Anolis sagrei: one gene and its partner. The protein of the gene in region 2 purifies or fractionates together with the protein of the main gene of each other region. This does not show direct contact. Links are inferred from orthologs where the notes say so. Each region holds a gene or a part of one and is shown on either strand. Other genes may lie near its edges.

Region 1 (7,234 bases), on a different chromosome or scaffold from region 2:
TGGATTTTATATGGCAGTGTGGAAAGGGTCTGAGGGCCCTTCCACACAGAAAATCCCACAAAATCTGCTCTGAACAGGATTATGAGTGCACACTGTCATATAATCCAGTTCAATGTAAGCCTCATGTAAGCCGCCCCGAGGCTCCCTGGGGGAGATGGAGCGGGGTATAAATAAAGCATTATTATTATTATTATTATTATTATTATTATTATGTGGATTTTATGTGGCAATGTGGAAGGGGTTAAAGCAGAAAATCCCACAAAATCCGCTCTGAACAGGATTATGAGTGCACACCGCCATATAATCTAGTTCAACGTGGATTTTATATGGCAGCGTGGAAGGGGTCTGAGGGTCCTTCCACACAGACATATAACCCGGAATATTAAAGCAGAAAGTCCCACAAAATCTGCTCTGATCAGGGATTATGAGTCCACACTGCCATATAATCCCCCTAGAGGGCTCCGGCCCAGTTTACCTGTCCAAACATATCTCCTTCTATGTCCCACCTCGGAGTCTAAGATCTTTGGGGGAGGCCCTACTCTCGGCCTCGCCTCTATCACAAGTGAGGCTGGTAGGGACGAGGGACAGGGCCTTCTCAGTGGTGGCCCCTCGCCTGTGGAACTCACTCCCTGGCGAAATTAGGTCATGAACATCCCTCCTCTCCTTTAGAAGGAAGCTGAAAACATGGATATGGGACCAGGCCTTTGGGTAATCTGGCAGACTGACAAGGTAATGACGACCAGAATTTGGAAAGGACTATGGTAATGCTGAATGGACTTACGGATACGTTGGCCACTAGATTGGCTTTTTAGTTGTTTATTTATTTATTTTATTTACGACATTTATATGCTGCCCTTCTCACCCCGAAGGGGACTCAGAGCGGCTTACAAGGTATATATACATACAGTATATTATTAACATAGTACAATATAAGTTTTAAATATTGCTATATTGCACTATATCAATTATACTGTAATATTATTAGTAATATTACATGTAAGATCAGTGTTTCTCAACCTGGGGATCGCGAAGGTGTGTCAGAGGGGTCGCCAAAGACCATCAAAAAACACAGTATTTTCTGTTAGTCATGGGGGTTCTGTGTGAGAACTTTGGCCCAATTCTATCATTGGTGGGGTTCAGAACACTCCTTGATTGTAGGTCAATTATAAATCCCAGCAAGCACAGCTCCCAAATTTCAAAGTCTATTTTCCCCAAACCCCATCAGTTTTCACATTTGGGCATATTGAGTATCTGTGCCAAGTCTGGTCCAGATCCATCACTGTTTGAGCCCACAGTGCTCTCTACATGTAGGCGAACTACAACTCCCAAACTCAAGGTCAATGGCCACCAAACACTTCCAGTATTTTCTGTTTGTCATGGGAGTTCTGTGTGCCAACTTTGGTTCAATTCCATTGTTGGTGAGGTTCAGAATGCTCTTTGTTCGCAGGTTAACTGTAAATCCCAGCAACTACATCTCCCAAATGACAAAATCAATCCCCCCGCCAACCCCACCAGGGTTCAAATTTGGGCATACCAGGTATTTGTGCCAAATTTGCTCCTGTGAATGAAAGTACATCCTGCAGATCATTATTTACATGGCAATTCATAATGTTAGGGTTATGACTGGGGGTCACCACAACATGAGGAATTAAGGGGTCGCGGCATTGGGAAGGTTGAGAACCACTGTGTAAGATAAATATATAATTGTTATTGTATTAATTGAATGTTTTAACTATTGTGGTTATTGTTGCTATGTATTTTATCTGTTGAATTGTTGGCATCGAATTGTGCCGGTTGTAAGCCACAATGAGTCCCCCCTAGGGGGCTGAGAAAGGTGGGGTAGAAGTGAGCGAAAATAAATAAATAAATAGTTCAATGTGGATTTGATATGGCAGTGTGGAAGGGCCCTTAGCCTGGTGGGGCCACTAATCTCATTTGACAGGGCAGGGAGGGCGCAAGGCCCCACTCCTTCTCTTTGCAGGCACTGAGCCCCATCTCCTGAGGCGGTACCTGCTCCACGGTGGCCGGGTCCATGCTTTCGATGCGAGCGGCGGCCGTTTCGTACTCGTCCTCGCTGTTGTAGCCAGCGCCGGCCTCGTCCTGCTCGGGGCTGTTGCCTCCGCCGCCGCCTCCTCCAGGCCCCGAGGGTCCCCCAAGGCCTCCTGCGGGCCCGCCGCGCCGCCGCCTCTTGCTGTGTCCAGGCCCCGAGCAGCAGCCCCCGCCTCCACCGCCTCGCGACTCGGCCACGCCGGGATCCAACAGGCCCGAGCCGTCCCCGCCGCCTCCACCACAGGGCCCCACGCCGGGGTTGGGCGGCGGCGGCGAGCCAGCGGCGGGGGGCAGCCCCCAACGAGGCGGCGGGGGTGGCGGCGAGGCTCGCGGCCTAGCTCCGCCGCGCTCCCCGGGCCCGCCGACGCCTCCGCCGCCGACGCCTACGCCGCTGGGGCCTCGAGGGTGGGAGTCCGCGCCGGAGCAGCCCCGCGGGTCCGGGCCCCCGACGCCGCCGGGTCCCCCAGGACCGCCCTGGCCGCCCCCTCGGGAGCCCGGCTGGTCCCTGTCTCCGTCGCCGGCGGCCGGGCAGGCCTTCTTCTTGGGCAGGATCGTCATGGCAACCGAGGGAGGGGGCAAGCAGAGGAGTCCCGAGCCGCGCGTGAGGGGCACAAGTCCCCGGATGGAGAGGCTAAGCAGTGACAGTTAACCCAAAGGCACTGGGGATGCAGGAGGAGGGGGTGAGGAAGGAAGGAAGGAAGGAAGTACCCGTATGGAAGGGAGTTTGGGGATTCCGGAGGAGAGGGGCGAAAGAGGCCCTCTCCCCTCCGCTGGGATGGAGAGCGGGGACCCGGATGGAGAGGCCCGGGACCCGGATGGAGGGCCCGCTGAGGAACCACTTCTTTGAGGAAGGGAAGGAATGCCCGGATGGCAGGCCCAATCACAACCGCATCGCGCCCCCCGCCAGGCGGGTCAAAAGAGGAAGCGGGCCCCGTCAGCCCCCAAGAGGCGCCGCTGTCCCTGCCGGACTTGCTTCCGCCAACTCTCGCCGCCACCGCCGCCGCCTCGTTCTTCCCTCACGACAGCTTTTCGGGCCTTGCGCGGCGTCCCGGCGGCGGCGGCGCCTACTACTCCACAGCTCCGGCCTAGTGTCAACATCAACACAGCCGGCCTCTGACCCCGGCGAACTCCACTTCCGTTTCCACGCCCCCCTTCCTCCTTAGCGACGGGGGAGGGCCCTGGCAACGGCGCCGCTCTCAAAGGCTGCTGCACGTGACTCCACGCTCAGTGGCTGAGCGGAGACGGAAGCCCCTCGCCGAGTGGCCAGCGGCGCTTGTCACTCAGGCGAGGCCCCGCCTCTTTTCTACATTCCCTCCTGCCACCCGATGCCATTGAAGGCAAGCGGCGGATTAGCATGCCGAAAGGGGCCTGGGAAGTGGATTCGAGGAGAGACGCTTCTCTGGTTTATGATTGGCTAATAGCGGAGGGCTGTTTCCGATTGGGTGAAAGCAATCCCTGGCGTTGATAGGCTGAGAGGCAGGTTCTTCGGGCTCCCTTCTGTACAGCCTCCCTCTGGTTTGAGGGCAAGCATTCAGATGCGGAGTGATTTGTTCTGCTCCACAAGGATTCTTGGGCAAATTTGGGGCCTTCAGGTGTTTTGGACTCCAATTCCCACAATTCCTCACAGTCTCAGCCTCTTTCCTTTCCCCCCTCTCCCAATTAAGGAAAAGGCCGCTTTTAAAAATCTATATTCTTCTCTCTTAATTTTTTAGCTAATATGTTATATGTAATATTTTTTATCTAATATGTTATATCTAGAAATAGTTTTCTAAGATCTACAGAGACACTCGCTGGAACACCTCAGCAAGCAAGAGTCCAAAAGTGGCAGGCTCAAACCCAGAACCTCAACCAATGGCTTTTTTTTTATCGTGTCATCGGCAACCATTGTATTACAATTCTAACAGAGCAAAACAAACACACAGATTAAAAAGAAAAAGGGGGGAAAAAAACACAGATTTTGCAAATTTGGTAGTTGATTAAATGTCCTTTGACCAGTATCTGGCCACTTGGAGTGCTTCCGGTGTTGCTGCAAGAAGGTCCTCCATTGTGCATGTGGCAGGGCTCAGGGTGCATTGCAGCAGGTGGTCAGTGGTTTGCTCTTCTCCACACTTGCATGCTGAGGATTCCACCCTGTAGCCCCATTTCTTAAGATTGGCTCTGCATCTCATGGTGCCAGAGCGCAGTCTGTTCAGCGCCTTCCAAGTCGCCCAGTCTTCTGAGTGCCCAGGGGGGAGTCTCTCATCTGGTATCACCCATGAATTGAGGTGCTGGGTTTGGGCCTGCCACTTTTGGACTCTCGCATTCTGGGGTGTTCCAGCGAGTGTCTCTGTAGATCTAAGAAAACTATGTCTTGATTTAAGTCATTGACGTGCTGGCTGATACCCAAACAGGGGATGAGCTGGAGATGTCTCTGCCTTGGTCCTTTCACTATTGGCTGATTCAACCAATGGCTGATACCAAATGAGAGACTCCCCTCTGGGCACACAGAGGACTAGGCGACTTGGAAGGCGCTGAACAGAATGCGCTCTGGCACCACAAGATGCAGAGCCAACCTTCAGAGATGGGGCTACAAAGTGGAATCCTCGACATGCGAGTGTGGAGAGGAGCAAACCACTGACCACCTGCTGCAATGCAACCTGAGCCCTGCCACATGCACAATGGAGGACCTTCTTGCAGCAACACCGGAAGCACTCCAAGTGGTCAGATACTGGTCAAAGGACATTTAATCAACTACCAAACTCACAAATTTTGTATTTTGTCTGTTTGTTTGCTTTGTTCTGTTAGAAATGTAATATAATTGACTGGTTGCCCTGACACGACAAATAAATCTGACAAATAAACATGAGGAAAGAAACTATATTGAGAGAATTTAGAGATATTAAACTCTCATGGTTCCATTGCTTACAGTTAGAGCAATGGTTCAAGAATTGGATAAAAAATAATGGGGAAGGTGGCAAATTCACGCAAGTTGAACAAATGATACAAAACGGAAGAGCTACGGGAAGATACCACAAGTTGAAAGGAATAACCAGCAAATTGTATAAGATAATAATTGATATTAAGGGGGGGAAAAAATAAAGGATGCAACATTAAGAGAGATATGGGAGGAAGACCTAGGGATTAGAATAAACGAAGTGGATTGGGTACAATTATGGGATCAAAGATATTTAAAGAATTTATCGATACATGTTAAAGAAAATTATTACAAATTGATGTGGAGCCCCCGGTGGCGAAGTGGGTTAAACCCCTGTGCCGGCAGGACTAAAGACCAACAGGTCGCAGGTTCGAAGAGGCGGTTCGAAGAGGCGAAGAGGGAGAGGCGGATGAGCTCCCTCTATCAGCTCCAGCCCCTCATGCGGGGACATGAGAGAAGCCTCCCAAAAGGATGATAAAAACATCAAATCATCCAGGCGTCCCCTGGGCAACGTCCTTGCAGACAGCCAATTCTCTCACACCAGAAGCGACTTGCAGTTTCTCAGGTCGTTCCTGACACGACAAAAAAACCCCCAACCTATTCAACTTGTATGCAGAACACATCATGCAATGTGCGGGGCTTGACGAATGCAAGGCTGGGGTGAAAATTGCTGGAAGAAACATTAACCTTATATATGCAGATGATACCACTTTGATGGCCAAAAGCAAGGAGGCGCTGAGGAACCTTCTAATCAAGGTGAAAGAAGAAAGCATAAAAGCTGAGTTGCAGTTAAACATCAAAAAAATCAAGATTATGGCAACGAGAATGATTGACAACTGGAAAATAGAGGGAGAAAACGTGGAGGCAGTGGCAGACTTTGTATTTCTAGGTGCAAAGATTACTGCAGATGCAGACTGCAGCCAGGAAATCAGGAGACGCTTACTTCTTGTGAGGAGAGCAATGGCCAATCTTGATAAAATAGTGAAGAGTAGAGACATCACACTGGCAACCAAGATCCGCATAGTTAAAGCAATGGCATTCCCCATAGTCACCTATGGATGTGAGACCATAGGGAGGGCTGAGTGAAGGAATATAGATGAATTGATCCAGTGTTCAATGTCTGAATCATTGTTATTTAAATCCTCTTTCCATATTTCTATTTCTTGTTTCAAATTATATCGAATTCCAACTAATCTCTTGTATATGAACCCCATCAGGCTTTTCTCCTTTTCTAGTTTCCACTTTAACATTTGATCAAAATCTGTTTCTGGGCCTTCCTTTTTCCTCCACGTCATGATTCTTTGTTTCAATCTATCCCAAAGGAGCCAGTTACATTGACCAAGTGCACCTACCTGCCTCCCCGGTCTCTGCAGAGCCACCAGAGCCATGCAGGCAGCAGCAGGCCAGGGAGGCAGGCCTTTCCCGCTGTGCCTCAGGCCAACGCACTTCAGGGGTCCCTGGCCTCCACTGGAAGTTAATATTTAATATTAATATTTTCAAAAACCCACAAAACAGCGAGTCTGCTAAAAGCGAACCGCAAAGTAGCGAGGGAATACTGTAGTTCCATTTTGCCAGGTTATCTTTTGATCTGTCCACGCCACTTCTGAGTCTGTCCAGGGACTTCCAAGTTGCCTGTTCTTATTTTGCCCTTGGACGAAGATCCTGGGATTTCCTGGTTTGGCTGCCCACAAGGATACTCTTGCTGTTGCTGGGGAAACATTTAGAGGAGTGGTGTTTCTTGTGAAACTTTTCCTTGGCCTTGAGGAGAAGACATTTGCTGTTGTGTCTGTCCCAAGCAGCAAACTGTCTTAGGCTAGGCCTGGGATGATCTAAATTTCCACCAGATAACAAAGTCTTTCGACTTTTGAAAAGCTGTAGTGTCCTCTTTATGGATTTGCATAGCCTTTAAGTGGGATGTTGTGGCACTTGATTTGACCCTACTGGGAAAAGGCTGATAACCATATTTTGTTATTTCTTTTGCAATTGGCAGCAACTTCCATTCTGGGGCTTTGGGGGTGGGGGGCAATGCCAGCTAGCTTATAAAGTCTTTCAACAGGTGTAGATTTGAGACATCCTGTGATTATTCTACATCAGTGGTTCTCAACCTGTGGGTCCCCAGATGTTTTTGGCCTTCAACTCCCAAAAATCCTAACAGCTGGTAAATTGGCTGGGATTTCTGGGAGTTGTAGGCCAAAACACCTGGGAACCCACAGGTTCAGAACAACTCATCAAGGCCTCCCATACATAAATCCATTCAAGATCTCTTTCCAC
Region 2 (7,498 bases):
AAAGTGGCAGGCCCAAACCCAGCACCTCAATCCGTGGGTGATACCAGATGAGAGACTCCCCCCTGGGCACACAGAAGACTGGGCGACTTGGAAGGCACTCAACAGACTGCACTCTGGCACCACAAGATGCAGAGCCAATCTTAAGAAATGGGGCTACAAAGTGGAATCCACGACATGCGAGTGCGGAGAAGAACAAACCACTGACCACCTGCTGCAATGCAACATGAGCCCTGCCACATGCACAATGGAGGACCTTCTTGCGGCAACACCAGAGGCACTCCAAGTGGCCAGATACTGGTCGAAGGACATTTAACCAACTACCAAGTTGGCAAAATCTGTGTTTTGTTTTTTTAAAAAATCTGTTTGTTTTGTTCTGTTAGAAATGTAATACAATGGTATGGTTGCTGATGACATGATAAATAAATATCGGACACTGCAGAGCCCCCGGTGGCGCAATGGGTTAAACCCCATGTGCCGGCAGGACTGAAGACCGACAGGTCGCAGGTTTGAATCCGGGGAGAGGTGGATGAGCTCCCTCTGTCAGCTCCAGCTCCTCATGCGAGGACATGAGAGAAGCCTCCCACAAGGATGATAAAACATCAAATCATCTGGGCGTCCCCTGGGCAACGTCCTTGCAGACGGCCAATACTCTCACACCAGACGCGACTTGCAGATTCTCAAGTTGCTTCTGACACGTGACACACGATCAGACACTGCAAAGGCTATTCCTCAGGACCCAGATATCTAGCACAACAGAAATCTTTTGGTCAGGCTGCAAGGTAGGTTTTTCTGGGAGTGGCACTGCAGAATTTCATTACTGTAGTTAAGCTGACAATGCAAGACCTTGACATATGTGTTCAGACTGAGATTTGTGACTGCTTAATCAGCAATGACTTCTTAGCAAAGATCAGCAAACCGAACAAGCTTGCTGAGACACAAATGTATCCAAATGATAATGCATTACGATAATGCAAAGAAGCTTGCCACGTCTTCAACTTGACTTCCGTACAAATATATAAACATAGCTATCATGCCCCCTTTCAGCCTTCTTTCCTCTGCAAATCTGATAAGCATGCCTTCTATTTTGTCATCCAAGTCATTGGTAAATACGTGGAACAGCACTGGGCCCAGGACAGACCCTTGTGGCACCCCACTGCTCACTTGGGCCAGTTATTATTATTTCGTATCAAAAGCATTGCATAAATTAGTATATAACCAATAAAAATAGAAGGAGCACAGGTGGCTAAATATCTTTTGACCAAAAACAGGCAACAATATGGCCTCTAACAAGTCTTCCTCTGTACATGAGGCAGGGCATAGTGGACAAGCATAAAGGTGCGGAGTTGTCTGTTCTGCTCCACAGCCACATAAGGTGTGGGATTCTTTTAGGTAGTGCCACTTGGGGCAATATATTCAAATGACAGGAAAGGAAATTCCACTTGAACATTAGGAAGAACTTCCTGACTGTGAGAGCTGTTCAACAGTGGAACTCTCTGCCTCAGAGTGTGGCGGAAGCTTATTCTTCGGAGGCTTTTAAACAGAAGCTGGGTGGCCATTTGTCGGGGCTGCTTTGATTGTTCTTTTCCTGCCTGGCAGGGAGTTGGACTAGATGGCCCATGTGGCCTCTTCCAATTCTATGATTCTATCTATCGATCTCGCTCTCTGGAGGCCTTTAAACAGGGGCTGGATGGCCATCTGTCAGGGTGCTCTGATGGTGTTTGTCCTGGCTGGCAGGATGCTTTGATGGTGTTTTTCCTGCCTGGCAGGGCGTTGGACTAGATGGCCCACATGGCCTCTTCCAACTCTAAGATTCTATCAATCGATCTCCTTCTCTGGAGGCCTTCAAACAGAGGCTGGATGGCCATCTGTCAGGGGTGCTTTGATGGTGCTTTTCCTGCCTGGCAGGGGGTTGCACTAGATGGCCCACGTGGCCTCTTCCAACTCTAAGATTCTATCTATCGATCCCCTTTTCTAAAGGCCTCTTCCAACTCTATCGCTCTCCTTCTCTGGAAGCCTTTAAACAGAGGTTAGATGGCCATCTGTCGGGGTTGCTTTGATGGTGTTTTTCCTGCCTGACAGGGGGTTGGATTAGATAGCCCACATGATCTCTTCCAACTCTATAATTCTATCAATTGATCTCCTTCTCTGGAGGCCTTTAAACAGAAGCTGGATGGCCATCTGTCAGGGGTGCTTTGATGGTGCTTTTCCTGCCTGACAGGGTGTTGGACAGATTGGTCCACATGGTCTCTTCCAACTCTATGATTCTATCTATCAATGTCCTTCTCTGGAGGCCTTTAAATAGAGGCTGGATGGCCATCTGTCGGGGGTGCTTTGATGGTGTTTTTCCTGCCTGGCAGGGGGTTGCACTAGATGGCCCACGTGGCCTCTTCCAACTCTATAATTCTATCAATTGATCTCCTTCTCTGGAGGCCTTTAAATAGAGGCTGGATGGCCATCTGTTGGGGCTGCTCTGATTGTGCTTTTCCTGCCTGGCAGAGGTTTGGACTGGATGGCCTTTGGGGTGCCTTCTAACTGGGGCCAGACCTCAACCAGAAACCCCTGCTTCGGGGTCTGTGAGCCCTGTATTTCCTCCTCCGCCCCACTGCCCTCCAGAGACTCCTTTGGAGGCCCACCCTCTCCCCCTTCCTGAGGCCCAGCGACCCTTCCCTCCCCCTCGGCGCATGCTCACCTCCTCCATCTCGAGGGCGGCTGCGGAATAAAGGAGCAAAAGCCAGCCTCCTCGCGCCGCTCTCGAGCTTGCCTCGCGCGCCGTCACTGCCAATGACGTCACTGTCCTCCTGACCTCCCAGCCAATAGGGAAGGCGCGCTCTGGCCGGAAACGACCAAAGCTGGGCTGGCAAGAGGCTTGTTGCCTGCCGGATTTCCGGGTTTGTGCCGGGGAAGCTGAAAGTTTCAGTGGAGGGGTCGATAGTTCTCCCTTCTGTTTCCTGAGGTATTTCCCTTGAGTTTTCCGTATCCCAAGCATTTCACAGAGTAGGCCTGCAAGAGAGTTGTCTCTAAATACAGATATAGGCAGGCCCCAAGTGAGGAACAAGAGGAAGGAGTGGAGAGAGCATGAAGCTCCCACAAGGCCGCTTTCCTCCCAAAGACGCCTCTCTTCTCAGCTTTCTTTTACCATTGCAAGTCATACAGAATGTACACAGTTTGTTCTTAAGTTGAATTTGTTTGTAAGTCGGAACAGGTACATTTTATGTATAATTCCAGCCTAATATATATATAGTACCCGCCACGCATTGCTGTGGCCAACCTCCCCTCCCTCTTTCTCTCCTCCCTTCCCTCCTTCCTTTCCTCTTTGTCTTTCCCTATCTCTCATCTTTCTCTATCTTTCTTTCTTTCCTTCTTTCCCTCCCTACTTCTCGCCTTCCTTCCTTCCCTCTTTCCCTCCTTCTCTCGTTACTTCTTGATTGTCCCTTCCATTTAATATTGTATTTATATCTTACATAGAAAGAAGGAAAGGAAGAAGGAAGGAAGGAGAGACATGAAGGAAGGAAAAAGGGAGGGAGGGAGGGAGGGAAAGAAGGGAAGGAAGGAAAACAAGGAGGGACAGGGAGGGAGGAGAAGGAAGGAAGGAGGGGGATGAAGAAAGGAGGAAGGGAAGGAAATGAAGAAAGGGAAAGAAGAAGGAAAGGGGGGGGAGGAAAGGAAGGAGGAACAGGAAGGAAGGGAAGGAGGGAAAGAAGAAAAAGGAAGGGAGGAAAGAAGGGAAGGGAGGGAGAGAAGGAAGGTCCTTCATTCAAGCACTGTGGACCTTCCTCGCCTCCCCCCTCCTCCTCCCCTTCTTCCTTGCTTCGTTGCTGCTGCTGGCACTCATCTGCCATTTCCTCTTCCAACAGGGAAAGGAGGAGACTGCCTCCACCTCCTCCACTCCCTTGTGTGTGTGTGTGCATGTGGCTGTGCATGTGCGCCTGGCTTTAACGGCAGGCTGTTTCCCCATGAGGAAGAGGAGGGGGCGTGGCCATGGGTCTCTGTAGACATGCAGTTTCCCCTTTGTGGACATGCAGTTTAGATGTCCTTTCTGCTTTTCATTTCCGTTGTTTTTTTTTAGTGGAGAACATACATTGGGTTGTTAGGGACATAGTGTCCAAATTTGGTGTCAATTGCCGGAGTGGTTTCTGAGTTCTGTGAATAGCACAAACGAACATTACATTTTTATTTATATAAATTAGCTTTGGATAGCATAGTCATGCTACCCCTCTATTCTGCCTTGGTTAGACCACACCTGGAATATTCTGTCCAGTTCTGGGCACCACAATTGAAGCGAGATATTGACAAGCTGGAATGTGTCCAGAGGAGGGCAACTAAAATGATCAAGGGTCTGGAGAACAAGCCCTATGAGGAGCGGCTTAAAGAGCTGGGCATGTTTAGCCTGAAGAAGAGAAGGTTGAGAGGAGACATGATAGCCATGCATAAATATGTGAGAGGAAATCATAGGGAGGAGGGAGCAAGCCCCTTCACTAGAAATGTTTAAAAAGAACCGTAAAACTTGGTTCTTCCGCTGCGCCTTTGGTGATTAGGTGCACACCACGACATTTTGCATCCCCCAACGTTTTTGCTACTGGAGCTCGCACCTCCAAATGGGATGTTTAGCCTCACAATTCTACGTATTTTATGAATCCCCCGTAATTGTCCTCCTCCTATTTTATTTTATTTCAGTCCTTTAATTGTTCTTATCCTGTACTAGCGGTCCCCTGCCACGCATTGCTGTGGCCCAGTCTGGTGATCTGGGAAAAAAGTAATGGGAAAGTGTTGGTTTCTAATATATGTAATTTCTTTCTGCTTGTGAGTAAACAGGATTTCTTGCTGTTTCTTTGCCAGTGTTGATGTGGAGATTGTTTGGTTTGCCTACTCTGGAACATGCAACATATCATTCTCCTTCTTTAGGGGTCCCTTTCAAATCTTTGATACTGAATCTGTCATATACATATATGTGTATGTGTGAATGGCTGGATGGCCCTTTGTCGGGAGGGCTGTGATTATGTTTTCTTGCCCTGGTGAAGGGAGTTGGACTGGATGGCCTTAAGGTAGCATTTCTCAATCTGGGAAGTCAAGACCCCGGGGGTCACCAGGGGGGTGTCAGAAGGTCACCAAAGATCACCAGAAAACACAGTAAGTTTGCCCCAATTCTGTCGTTGGTGGGGTTCAGAATGCCCCTTGATTGTAGGTGAACAATAAATCCCAGTAACTACAACTCCCAAATGTCAAGTTCTATTTCCCCCAAACTCCATCTGTGTTCACATTTGGGCATATTGAGTATTCCTGTCAAGTTTGGTCCAGATCCATCATTGTTGGAGTCCACAGTGTTCTCTGGATGGAGGTGAACTACAATTCCAAAATTCAAGGTCAATGCCCACCAAACCCTTTTGGTATTTTCTGTTGGTCATGGGAGTTCTGTGTACCAGGTTTGGTTCAATTCCATTGTTGGTGGAGTTCAGAATGCTCATTGATTATAGGTGAACTATAAATCCCAGCAACTACAACTCCAAAATGACAAAATCATAATTTTTGATTGATGGGCACTCCTTGTGTAGTGAGACATTTTGTTGTCAAATTTGGTGTGATTTCGTTCATTGGGCCTTTTGTTTTTAAGGTACTCATTATGTACAGAACATATATATATATATATATATATATATATATATATGCGGCCCGCCCATTGTTATCGTTATCGTGATTGTGTTTATTAGAATGTTATTTTATGACTGCATTTTTAATGTAATTTTGATGTTGTTGTTATTTGTTGTTTATGTTTTGATTTTATTGCTGTAATATGTTGTTCGGGCTTGGCCCCATGTAAGCCGCTCCGAGTCCCCACAGGGGAGATGGTGGCGGGGTATAAATAAAGATTATTATTATTATTATTATTATTATTATTATTATTATTATTATTTCCTGCTGCCCTGGAGACTAGGATGCGGAACAATGGCTTCAAACTACAAGAAAGGAGATTCCATCTGAACATTAGGAGGAACGTCCTGACTGTGGGAGCCGTTCAGCAGTGGAACTCTCTGCCCTGGAGTTTTGTAGAGGCTCCTTCTTTGGAAGCTTTTAAACAGCAACTGGATGGCCAACTGTCGGGGGTGCTTTGAATGCAGTTTTTCTGCTTCTTGGCAGGGGGTTGGACTGGATGGCCCATGAGATCTTTTTCAACTGTATGATTCTATAGGGAAAGGTGAACACTAGGGATGTCTGATCCATTTAAAAATGTTTCAAAAGTTATTACAAAACTGGGAGGTGCTAGCATTTCATTTCTAAAGTGTTTCTAAAGTACAATTAGTGGAAAAATTCGTTACTATAACGAAATTTGGTTACAGTAATTGCGCATAAATTACTATAATTGGGAAAACTTCAGGGGCGCCTTTCGCCCTCATTTTTAAAGCTATCTTGTTCATAACTTGGGGACTGCCTATAACTAAAAGCAAGAGAACTGAGAACTGTACACTGTTATGTGTATGGTGATGGTGGGATGGGGGAGCAAAAGGTTGGGAATAATCAATGTAACGATGCAATTGTGTTTTTATTATAAAATAAATGAAAAAAATCTTAAGTCACAATTTTAAAAGGGAAATTACAGTTCTGGAGCTCTGAACCCGGTCACAACTGCACAGAGGTTCAGGAACAGGAAGTGATATTAACCTACCATTCAACACTGGACCCACATGAAATTAGTTGTATATCCTTAACCCTTTTTTCCACTTTCAGGTGTCCAATTATTTTTCCTGTTGTGATGAGAAAGCCGAGGATTTAAATGACATCCCTTAGAATGTTTTGCTTTCCTTTTGATAGTTAAAATGCAAGTATTGATTAGTTAAATATAAGCTAATATTCAGAATTGTGCATAGCACTTCAAAATGGTTTATTTGTTATCCATACATAAAAAATATTTGAGATGTTATTATTCATCCACGTATTGCAGATGGAGACAGGGCCAGCCCAATAGATTTTGCTACTTAAGAGCATCCATATAGTGCAAGACCTTTCCCATACAGTAACCAGGAAGTGTCAAACCTGCAGGTTTTACAAGCAGGTTTTACAACATATTATCAACCCACTATTGAGCAACCTTCCTATATCAAGTTTTCACTGGAAGATAATTTTCCCCATGTGACTTTGTCCATTGCCAAGTTTCTCTTGGAGGTATCCAATATAAGAAATCTTCCTGCTCCAGACTCAGGTGAAACTAGCCTTTGCATTAATCTGTATGTACATTCCCTAATGTATCTTCTTGTGAGGATCTTTGACAGTCAAGCTACTTGGGTCTGTAATAAGCTTGTAGTTGTCGAAATGGACCAAACATGCTAGGTGTTACTTGGACATCATAGTTCCAGGAACAGGAGGGATATCAAATTATTGCTTACTGGTAATAAGGCTGTGTAGCTTTAATGTACATTCAATTCATATAATTGTTTGGAATTTAATTGTATCTAAACACATTTTATTAAGCAATTTTTACAGTGTATTTCCATGCTTTTAATTATAT

Evidence for each region.
Region 1: the proteins of CACYBP (region 2) and OTUD5 purify together in Homo sapiens (affinity purification with mass spectrometry; 4 studies listed by BioGRID and IntAct, with this or other methods). This does not show direct contact. The link is inferred for Anolis sagrei from reciprocal best matches to the Homo sapiens genes CACYBP and OTUD5.

What each region holds. Positions count from the first base shown.
Region 1 is NC_090022.1:178,619,848-178,627,081, forward strand, and holds the start of OTUD5 (OTU domain-containing protein 5), read right to left. Parts: upstream 3,201-7,234; 5' UTR 2,608-3,200; coding exon 2,011-2,607; intron 1-2,010. UniProt on the Homo sapiens protein: Deubiquitinating enzyme that functions as a negative regulator of the innate immune system. Has peptidase activity towards 'Lys-48'- and 'Lys-63'-linked polyubiquitin chains. Can also cleave 'Lys-11'-linked ubiquitin chains (in vitro).
Region 2 is NC_090024.1:129,682,336-129,689,833, forward strand, and holds the start of CACYBP (calcyclin-binding protein), read right to left. Parts: upstream 3,002-7,498; 5' UTR 2,987-3,001; coding exon 2,690-2,986; intron 1-2,689. UniProt on the Homo sapiens protein: May be involved in calcium-dependent ubiquitination and subsequent proteasomal degradation of target proteins. Probably serves as a molecular bridge in ubiquitin E3 complexes. Participates in the ubiquitin-mediated degradation of beta-catenin (CTNNB1).